Linked DNA regions of Cricetulus griseus. The protein of the gene in region 1 interacts with the protein of each later gene in a pairwise test. Links are inferred from orthologs where the notes say so. Each region holds a gene or a part of one and is shown on either strand. Other genes may lie near its edges.

Region 1 (3,650 bases):
GCAAAGTGACCATAAGTGAGAGAATAAATGGTCCAGTGGGAGAACTGATTTTTTGTTTTTGTTTTTGTTTTTTTTAAAGATCTTATTTATTACGTATACAACATTCTGCTTCCATGTATATCTGCACACCAGAAGAGGACACCAGATCTCATAATGGATGGTTGTGAGCCATCATGTGGTTGCTGGGAATTGAACTCAGGACCTCTGGAAGAGCAGTCAGTGCTCTTAACCTCTGAACCATCTCTCCAGCACAGTCACATTTTTCTTGACTTTATTTTTGCTTGTAAAGTTCTATTCTTGATCACTGGAGAGATGGTTCAGTGGTGAAGACATGGGTTCAGTTCCCAGCACTGAGATGGTGATTCACAACTGTCTATAGCTTCATTTTCATGGTATCCAACTCTCATTTCTGGCCTCTGTGGGCATTGCTCACATGTAGTGCACAGGCATGCATGCAGGCAAATCACCCATATACGTAAAATAATAAAGTAAAAATTTTATTCTCTGGGGCCAGCAGGATGGTTCAGCAAGTAAAGAAAAGTGCTTGCCATCAAGCCAGGGATCTGAGTTTGATTTTTGTAACTTATATAGTAGAAGGAAAAATCTAACTCTGGAAAGTTATTTCTAATGTCAGCATATTTCACATGCATCATGGCACCCCTGTGCCCACAAGCATACACACACACAAATGCACACACAGATAATAAACAAAAGTAATTTTTTAAAGTTTGATATGTGTGTGTGTGTATATATGTACATATGTTTATTTATTTTTTTCCCAAGACAAGGTCTCAGGCTGTCCTCAAACTCACAGAGATCTGCCTGCCTCTCCCTAGTGCTGGGATTAAAGGTGTGTGCCACCATCAGGTTCTCTATCTTTAAAGTCAACTGAGCTACATTACTCGTTTCCACTCTTAGACGCTGTGAAGTGAGAGAGTGACTGCTGTCACAGGGAGCAAATTCAGGGAGAGATGACCTGTCTGCATATGCTAGTGTTTCTGGGATGGTCTGGCTTCCTCTGCTGTCTCTCATGTTTTCTAATCCTAGCTGTCTACTTAAAGTGAAAAAAACGATGTGGTATCCCAGCCATTAAGGCTGCTGCAGTAATAGACCATAGACTAGATAGTTCATTAGCAAGCAAAATTTATTTCTTATAGTTCTCAAGGCTGAGGGGTGGTTGATCAAGGCTCTGGCATATACAGTGTCTAATGAGGGCCCTCTTTTTCATAGATAACATTTGGTTTTTGTTTTCCTTTTGGAATGGTCTTACTATCCTGCAGATCCATCTGCCTCAGTTACCTTAGTGCTGGGATTAAATGAGTATGTCCTTATGCTAGGCAGCTGATGCTTTCTTTTGGGGGGAGGGGAGACTGGTTTTGAGACAGGGTTTCTCTGTGGCTTTGGAGCCTGGCCTGGAACTCTGTAGACCAGGCTGGCCTTGAACTCACAGAGATCCTCCTGCCTCTGCCTCCTGAGTGCTGGGATTAAAGTGAGCGCCACCAAGGCCCAGCTAGTTGATGCTTTCTTATTGTATCCTCTCTTGGTGGAAGAGGTAAGTAGTTAGTTCTCTGGTGCCTCGTAAGGGGAATTAATGCTTTCACAAAAGGCCCACACATGCTAATCACTTTCTACTACCTCCTAATAACATCACTTGGGGGCTAGTATTTCAACATGAATTCAGACCATAGCCTATGACTTCTCTGTCACCCCTTAAAATCTTTGTAGAAATGGCCAGAGATTAGAGGAAACCATGATGGGAAGAACTTTTTATTTATTTATTATTTCTAAAGTATCACTTTTTTTTTTTCTTAGGGTTTCTCTGTAATTTTGGAGCCTGTCCTGCAACTTGCTCTGTAGACCAGGCTGGCCTCGAACTCACAAAGATCTGCCTGCCTCTGTTTCCCAATTGCTGGTTATCAAAGACGTGCACCACCACCGCCTGGCTCCATAGCATGACTTATATTTTATGTTCTTCCCTCTTGAATTTGCTTCTCTCTCCTTCCTTCCTTCTATCCTAGTATGTTGCAAACTGCTGGATTCAAATGCTGCTCCTATACCAGCCTCAGAGGAGCTGGGACTAGTGGTGAAGGCCACTGTACCCAGCATCGAGCTTCTTTATGTGTATTTTTTTATTGTGATTTTTTTTTTTTTTTTTTTTTGGTGTTAGATATTGAGCCCAGTATCTGGCACAAGAGGTAAGTGTTCTAAACAGCAGAGGGAAAAGCTATCAGGCATAAAATCCACTTTATTTATTTATTTATTTTGGTTTTTTGAGACAGGGTTTCTCTGTGTAGCTTTGGAGCCTATCCTGGCACTCGCTCTGGAAACCAGGCTGGCCTCGAACTCACAGAGATCTGCCTGCCTCTGCCTCCCGAGTGCTGGGATTAAAAGCGTGCACCACCAATGCCCGGCTCACTTTTTTTTTTTTTAAAGATTTATTTATTATGTATACAATCTTCTGCCTGCATGTCTGCCTGTTGGCCAGAAGAGGGCACCATATCTCGTAACAGATGGTTGTGAACCACTATGTGGTTTCTGGGAATTGAACTCAGGACCTCTGGAAGAGCAGTCAGTGCTTTAAATCTCTGAGCCATCTCTCCAGCCCCAGAAAGAACCCACTTTTGGACAAGAGATTAGGAATAGATCTTTGGAGTTTTTTTTCTAGGTATATAGGAAGCTGTTTCATGTAACCACCCTAGTCAGTGGACTATGGTAGGAACTGACCATGCAGAGCTCCTGGGGAGTGGTGAGACGTTTAAGTGAGTTCAGTGTATTAAAGCCATTAGGACTGGATGTAGGTAGTAATTACTCCTGTGTTTCTATCAGAATGCCGACATGCTTTTCTTCCCAAACAGCTGAAATTCCTGGCCTGTGCTTCCTTCAGCAGGTGTCATTGAGCATCTTTCTGCTCAGTGGAACTGCTTCAGTAATGAGGGTTTGTGAGCACAGGCATTGAAGCGCCTGTTTGAATGGCCCTCCCTTCCTTCCTTGCGCTGGGAGTCCCCGAGCGTGAAGTAATAGTGTGAGAGCTCTCGAGAAGCCATGGCATCCTGACACTTGTCTTCTCTCTTAGGCAACAGTTACAGCACTCCACAAATCAGCTCGCCAAGGAGACAAATGAGTTGCTAAAGGAATTAGGGTCTTTGCCCCTACCCTTGTCTGCATCAGAGCAGGTAGGTATCTTCTGTTTTGTTTATTAATAGAAAAGGACTTTATTCTGATAGAGTAGTGGGATGTGGAACAAAAGCTCTAGGAGGGCTCTGGTCTTGATAGATTTCTTTGAACTATAATTTCCTTACCACGTGCTTTAGTTTCAGTTCTGTTGTGATAAACTACTACAACAAAAAGCAACCTAAAGGAAAAGGTTTGGTTTTTTGTTTGTTTTGTTTTGTTGGTTTTTTTTTAGTTCACAATTCCAGGTTACAGTCTATTGTGGGAAAATCAAGGTAGCAGAACTTGAAGGCACTGGTCACATCTCATCCGCAGTCGAAGGAGAGAGAAATGAGTGCTTGCTTGTTCTTTTCCACATGTGTGCCCAGCTCTGCTTCTCCACCCTCCCACAGTTCACGATCTCCTGCCTAGGAAGTGATGCTGCCTACGGTGGGTTGGGTCCTCCTACACTAATCAGTTAAGGCAGTCTCCCGTAGATG
Region 2 (3,650 bases), on another chromosome or scaffold:
GAATTTATTCTGGGGTATCATATTGGGTCCAGGTAGTCCCAGTACTTGGGAAGCTAAGGCAGGGAAATTGTAAGTTTGAGTTTGAGGCCAGCCTAGATTATATAGCCAGGCTATCAGAAAACCAAAAACAAGCAAACAAACATACTAGGCGTTTTAGTCACTTGGGAGACTGAGGCAAAACATTACCATGAGTTCAAATCCATACTGGAACACAGTGGAAAACCCTGTCTCAAAAGATAAGAAAAGAAAAGGAGAGGCTAGGTGTGGTAGCACAAAACTGTAATTCCAGCACTCGGGATGAAGGCAGAAGGATCAGTAGTTCAGGGCCACCTCAACTACATACTTACATACCAAATTCAAGGCCAGCCTGAGCTACACAAGACTCTCAAAAGAGGACAGAGGTTATTTCTGTATATGTTTAGAAATAGAATTTCTTTCTTTGTTTTTGTTTTTGTTTTTTTTTGTTGTTGTTGTTGTTTTTTGTTTGTTTGTTTTGGTTTTTTTTTTTTTTTTGAGACAGGATTTCTCTGTGTAGTCCTGGCTGTCCTGGAACTATGTAGACCAAGCTCAGAGATCCTCCTGCCTCTGCCTTTGGCGTGCTGGGATTAAAGGTGTGCTCCACCACGGCCCAGCAAAAACAAAAATAGTAAGCTCAGTTTTGTAGCATAACTTCATTTCCTTTAGTCTCTTTGAGATTGTTTACTGTGTAGCCCAGGCTGGCTTTGAATTCATGATCCTGCTGCCTTAGCCTGCCAAGTGCTGAGATTTCAGCTGCAAACCACCACACCAGGCAATGATTTTCATCTTTGCTTTTTTCATGTTTTATATGGTTTGATGTGGTTTTGTTTCTTTTGAGACTGAGTCTCATTTAGCCCGGTCTGGCTTCAAATTCATTAGTAGATGATGACCTTAAAATTCTGATATTCTTGCTCTATCTGCTAGATTATAGACGGGCACACAACAACTTTGATTTTTAAAGCTGTCTCTGCCAGCTCTGCCTGGTGTAGTAGTATGCACCTGTAGTCACAAATATTGCAGGAATAGCTTGAGTACAAGAGTTTGAGGTAAGCTTGGAGTTCACGGGATTTACAGTAGAGAGAACTTGTCTAGCATGCACAAAGCCCTGGTTCCAATCTTAAGCATTAAAACAAACAAACAAAAAACCAACCTGTCTTCCAGAGCTTGCTTGCCTGTGAGCCTGCAGCTTTGCATTGACAGTTCCCTGTTGTATTGTCATGTCTCTTTCCGTATCTCACCTGTTGACTTGTAAATTGAGAGTCCTTAATCTGCTAATGTTGAAGGACCAGCCAGAGCTCAGACTTGACTTCTCCAGCCTATAACCCCTGTCCCATTCCCGCTCCTGTCCCTCTGCATGGCCTCAGAGGCAGCTACCTCCTTCCTCCCACCCCTTTAGTTCCTTCCTGGTATGAGTGATTACTGGGGACAGTTTCCTAGGACTTCAGAAAAGAATAGGCCAATTTCATGGAGCAGTGACCGTCAGTGAACTGTCCCTCTGGTGTTTCTTTCTGAACTAGACCCAACCCCCAAAGGGCCTGCTTCTGCTGTGACTGCTGAGGTTTACCCAAAGAACTCAAGTCTTCGAGCCTATCATCAAAAGATCGACAACAACCTAGGTAAGTTTGGGAGCTACAGCAGCCTCCAGACAGTTGATGCTGAGCACAGCCAGGGCGCCCAGTACTGCCTCACTGTCAGGAATCTGTCCACTTCTCCCCATTTCCTGCTGTCACTGTAGCCAAGCCATCCTCACTACTTTCTTGACTCCTGACCAGACCTAAGCATCCCTGGGGCTTAAGAGCATCCAGGATAAAGCCACACGGCTGATGTGAGTGCGAAGGAGCTGAACTCAGATCTCATGCTTGCCCAGCAAGTGCTCATATCCACAGAGGCATGTCCCACAGCCCACCAGGCTGGTCTATCTCAGCCTTTTTTCCTGTCCTTACTGTCTCAAACCCAAGAAGCTTTCTTGAAGCCTGGGTGAGTGACCACTAAACTTTTACTTTACAGGAAACGTAAGGTCACATGTTTCAAAGATCTCAAGAAGCATAGTATGCCAGGCAAACACCTGTCATCCCAGGTACCTGTGATTAAGATAGGGTTGCAAATCCAGGGCCAGCCTGAAAGTTTGTGAGATCCTGTCTCAACATGACAAATATAAAGAGGCTGGAGGTGTGACTCAGTGTTGGAGTGTTTCCCTAGCACATGCAAGGCCCTAAGTTTGATTCTCCAGCACTTAGGGGAGCAATGCTGTACGTGGTAGAGACCCTAAGTCTTCTCAGGCAGCAGAAGCAGGGAGATCACTCTGACTTCAAGGCCAGCCTGGATTGCATTGTAACTTTCAGGCCAGCCAGAGCTATCTATCAAGACTATGCTAAAACAAACAAACAAACAAACATGTTAACCCTGGTTATCTGGAGGGAGGAGGTAGACAGTGGCTTCTACCTACACTAACCACATATTACTATGTAGTAAGTAGATTTCTCTTCACTTCCATGTTTTTTGAGTCATATGCTACAGGCTGTGGCACTCGGTTTTAGACAGGACTCTGCAGTCCAGATACCACTGAGCATCCAGAGGGGCAAGAAGCCCCTGCAGACACTGTAACTGCCTATCACTTCCTTCTCACAGATGAGCTGTCCATGGGATTGGGCCGACTCAAGGACATAGCCTTAGGAATGCAGACGGAAATTGAGGAGCAGGATGACATTCTTGACCGGCTAACAACCAAAGTGGACAAGTTAGATGTCAATATAAAAAGCACAGAAAAAAAAGTTCGGCAGCTCTAAAGAAACTGAAAAGGAATTCTACTCCATTGTGATGAAAAGATTCAAAGCCTCTTTTAAACTCCTAAGAAATGTCATTGATTGTACAGTATGTAATTTAACATATGTGTTCAAATGTGGGTCTTAAGAAATTTTAGTTTCAATGGGGAAAAAAATGTGTGTGTACACATTTGGGTAAGATCAACACCTCTAAAGTTCTGGGCAGACTAATTGTGAATGCCTTGAGCTTTTGATACTGTGCAGGAAGAAGAAAACCGTGCATTTCTTTCTTTCACAAGTATATGCAAAGATGTGGGCAGGATGTCAGTCAGTCTCCTAACTATTGCCTTCTATTTACTCGCTGTTTCTCACTCCAAGGCCTTACTGTGAATTCATGTAAAGTGACCCTGGGTTTTGGCAGAAGGAAGGGTCCTTCCACATCTTTGTATGTCAATCATTATCGATATGCCTGCACATACACTGAGCACATTGTAGCTTTCTCCCCCTGAAAAGGACCCCTGTTAGACCCAGAAAAGGAATGTGTTGCCTTCATTACTCTCCCCTCCTGTCCTCAGTTCTTGTCCTGTATTTCAGTAGAAGGACTCAGACTAGAACTGTTGGACATGACACCTGCAGTGTATGGAAATTGGATGAACTCTTCTTCCCCACCTACTGTCATCTCATACTTGCCATCTCTGGTGGGGACAGGTTTTTTTGACTGGCTCTAGGTCACCAAGTAGGTTGATGAGGAACCCCTGTGGAGTTAGTGAGCCCTGAGTATCTCCCAAACAAAAACCTCTCCACTGAGCCCTCTCTGCCTCTGGAATAGTACCAAGGCAGTGTTTATTTGGTGCCTGGAGAACCCCCACC
Region 3 (3,650 bases), on another chromosome or scaffold:
TCTGGATATCTGTGTGTGCATGTGTTTATGGTATATATGTGCATCTGTCTATAAATATGTGTTTGCCAGTGGTGTGTCCATGGTATATATCATGTTTGAGTATGTTTGTGTCTATGTATATGACTGTACATGTCTGCATATGCACTTATTATGTGCATGTGTCTGTGGTGTATATGTGGTATGTCTGTGGTATATGTCTGCTTATGTATGTCTCCGTGTGTGTGCATGTCTGTGTTGCCAAAGATGAACCCCAGGAACCTCACACATTCAAGGTATATGTCCTATCACCAAGCGACATCCCCAGCCTCAATTTTCTCCCCTGAATAACTCAACCTCATTGATGGGGAATGTACTGTGTATGTTTATCTTATTGTTAAATAAAATACCGTTTGGCCAATGAGATAGCAAGTTAGACGGGACTAGGAGTCAAAGAGGATTCTGGGAAATGTAGTAGAGAAGTGCTGATCCAGGCAGGAAGTGACATAGCAAGGGGACTCATATTTAAGTGAAGGAGAAACAGGAAGGCCCTCTTTTCCCCTTCGTTCCTGCTCCAGCGGCACAATGTGATCCACCGACAAGGAGGGACACCAATAAGGTGCCCGATAAGTCTTATAAAATATATAGATTTATGATAATTAAGACTGAGCTAGCAGATGAGAAGTCCTAATCATTGGCCAAGCAGCATTGTATCTAACTCAAGTTTCTGTGTATTCATTTGGGCCCTAACTTGGGCAGGGGGCTGGCGTAAAGCTCACACGTGGCGGTGGGGCTCAGGCAGCTTTTGGCGGAAAAATTTATCGTAATACCTCATCACTGTAGGTATACGGTCACACTGCTATTTGACTCAGGGACTGGCAGAGTCTATTCTGTCTATACTTCATTGTAGGGTTATAGAAGCTCACAAGGCAAAGGGCACCAAGGGATCAAGTCACAGAGCAAGGGCTCACCCTCTATGGCAAAAGAGGCTAGCAGTTTACTTATCAAACATGAGTCACACTTGATAATGCTTTTATTTTTTTTCCTCCCCTTAAAACAGCTTAAGCCAGGTGGTGGTGGTGCACACCTTTAATCCCAGTGCTCGGGAGGCAGAGGCAGGCGGGTCTCTGTGAGTTCGAGACCAGCCTGGACTACAAGAGCTAATTCTAGGACAGCCTCCAAAGCTACAGAGAATCCCTGCCTCGAAAATCCTAATAAAAAAAAAAAAAAAAAAAATTTAGTCCCAAACTCTTTAAACCCTCCACCTGCAGCCTCCCAAGTACTGGAATTACAGGTAAGCACCACCAGACTCTCTCAACTACCATGGTATCCTAAAACCATGTTAGCCGGCCTGCTGAAGAAAGAAGGAGCCAGGAGAGCCTTTGCATGAGCTCCCAGCACAGTTGCCACTACTACAAGGTCCATTTCTTCCAGGTAATGGCTGGTTTCTCTTCAGACAAGATTTTGTGTAGCCTAGTCTGACCTAGAACTCACTATACAGTCAAAGATGACCTTGAACTCCTGACCTTTCAGCCTCAACCTCCAGAATGCTACAATTACAGGCATATACTCCACGTCAGGTCTATGCATCGCTGGGGCTAGAACCCAAAGCTTCTTGCATGCTACATAAGCACTCTACCAACTGAGCTACATCCCCAGCCTGGAAGTTATCAATTACAGCACCCTCCTATTAGATTCCTTCATCTCAAAAGTAGGGATGGAAGGTATGTCAGTCACAACCATAACTAAAACCTAGCATGATACCCAGCCCAAAGCCAGGCACTGTGTGAGAGGCAGAAGGGTCTTACCAGTATCCTGGCGGAACTGAGTCCAGCTGGGGAGGTCGATGATGTAAGGGGCCAGTGAAGGGTCAGCCTGGCCTAAGGGGATGCTGTGGGCCAGGCTCCCCAGTCCGAAACGCTGGCCCTTCTGCTGGACAAACTGCTGCTCAATGAAGGAGCAGACAGTGGCACTGTAGGGATGCCAAGTGCCAAGCCCATCCTGCCATTCCCACACAGCCACCACCACAGGGCTAGGGTACACCTGTGGCAAAGACGAGCTTGGGGCCATGGCCATCTTCTGCTTTCCCTGAAGACTTCACACCACTCTGGGTTGCAGGCTCAGGTTCATTGCCCAGAACCTCCAGGGGACCTGGGAACAAGGCACAGCAGTTACTCACACACATCAGGGGCCTTGTATGGCAGCTAAAGAAAACCAACTTTTCTATACCACCCTCAGAGTGTCATGAACTAACTGTGGATCTCCATCTCTGCCCTAGCAGACAGATAATTAAAAGACATCCCTGCTGTTTACCCCACTTGAGCACACACTCCAGAGCAGGGAGCACAGCGACAGAGGGTGTTGATCACTACCCATTCACATCCTTCCTGCACATGCCACACAGCTCAGCCATTAATGGGGAATTCTCTGCAGACTCTACAGCTGAGCCATGCCTCTGGGAGTCAGTGTGTCTTGTCTGTGAGTCACCCCAGACCTTTGTGGAAAGGCCACAATGACCTGTGCATTGTGTGAGAGCCCTCCAGTTCGCAAGTCAGGCCTTGTTTGTGGGCTAGAGGAACAGCTGCTACCCTATCCTCTCAGATGTTCTGAGGCTTGGGAACAAGGACTCCATGACATCCTAGGGCAGTAGCTTACACATAGGCCAATGGATAGGAACAGTTTGCTATACAAACTAAGGACCAAAGTTTAAACCCACAGAAAAGCTGGGCATGCTACCTGTATCTGTATTCCCAATTATGAACCAGTCTGGCCAAAACAGCAAGTTTCAGGATCAGTGAGAGTTCCTGTCTCATAACATAAGGTGAAAGATGATAAAAGACATCCCAAGTCAGCCGGGCGGTGGTGGTGCACGCCTTTAAATCCCAGCACTTGGGAGGCAGAGGCAGGCGAGTCTCGGTGAGTTCGAGGCCAGCCTGGTCTACAAAGCTACACAGAGAAACCCTGTCTCCAAAAAACAGAGAAAGAAAGAGAAAGAGAGATCCCAAGTCCTCCTCTGACCTCTGTTTGTACACACATACAAACACACATAAAGGCCCATACCACACAAAACCAAAACCAAAACCAAACTAACAGCTAAGACGATCAGTGGCCGCAGGGTGGTGGCACATGCCTTTAATCCCAGCACTCGGGAGACAGAGACAGGTGGATCTCTGTGAGTTCGAGACCAGCCTGGTCTACAAGAGCTAGTTCCAGGACAGCCTCCAAAGCCACAGGGAAACCCTGTCTCAAAAAAAAAAAAAAAAAAAAAAAAAAAAAAGAGAGAGAGAAAAGAAAAAAAAAAGACTATCAGTGGCCACAAGAAGCCCTAGATATGAAACTAAAGTGTCCTTGGCTATCTCCCAGCACCTCCCTCCTGCACCTGTGCCTTGTGTAGCAGCTAGCTGGCTTCTTTACCCCAAGGACATTCTGCTCCTCTTTCTGCTCCATCTTCTCCTGAGAATTTACATCCTTCATGCTCAACTCGTGACTCAGGGGGCGGGGCTCTATGGTAGACTTCCAGCTTAGAATCCCCCAGTGTCACATGAGCTCATGACCCCGCACACCCTCCCGACACCAACCAGAACTCTTCTGAGCAGGAAGACATACAGGCACGGTCCTGCCCTGCCCCGCCCGAGTCTTCCTACCCCACCAGATGACCACAGACCAGCCCTATT

The links.
Region 2: the proteins of Stx12 (region 1) and Snap29 interact in binary tests that used the Homo sapiens proteins (3 or more experiments, as listed by UniProt). The link is inferred for Cricetulus griseus from reciprocal best matches to the Homo sapiens genes STX12 and SNAP29.
Region 3: the proteins of Stx12 (region 1) and Dtx2 interact in binary tests that used the Homo sapiens proteins (3 or more experiments, as listed by UniProt). The two-hybrid records come from large-scale screens. The link is inferred for Cricetulus griseus from reciprocal best matches to the Homo sapiens genes STX12 and DTX2.

Annotation. Positions count from the first base shown.
Region 1 is NC_048595.1:20,401,478-20,405,127, forward strand, and holds part of Stx12 (syntaxin-12), read left to right. Parts: intron 1-3,073; coding exon 3,074-3,173; intron 3,174-3,650. UniProt on the Homo sapiens protein: SNARE promoting fusion of transport vesicles with target membranes. Together with SNARE STX6, promotes movement of vesicles from endosomes to the cell membrane, and may therefore function in the endocytic recycling pathway.
Region 2 is NC_048597.1:71,888,100-71,891,749, reverse strand, and holds part of Snap29 (synaptosomal-associated protein 29), read left to right. Parts: intron 1-1,535; coding exon 1,536-1,634; intron 1,635-2,646; coding exon 2,647-2,804; 3' UTR 2,805-3,650. UniProt on the Homo sapiens protein: SNAREs, soluble N-ethylmaleimide-sensitive factor-attachment protein receptors, are essential proteins for fusion of cellular membranes.
Region 3 is NC_048597.1:115,009,061-115,012,710, reverse strand, and holds part of Dtx2 (probable E3 ubiquitin-protein ligase DTX2), read right to left. Parts: intron 3,473-3,650; exon of another isoform or gene 3,356-3,472; intron 2,128-3,355; 5' UTR 2,053-2,127; coding exon 1,785-2,052; intron 1-1,784. UniProt on the Homo sapiens protein: Regulator of Notch signaling, a signaling pathway involved in cell-cell communications that regulates a broad spectrum of cell-fate determinations.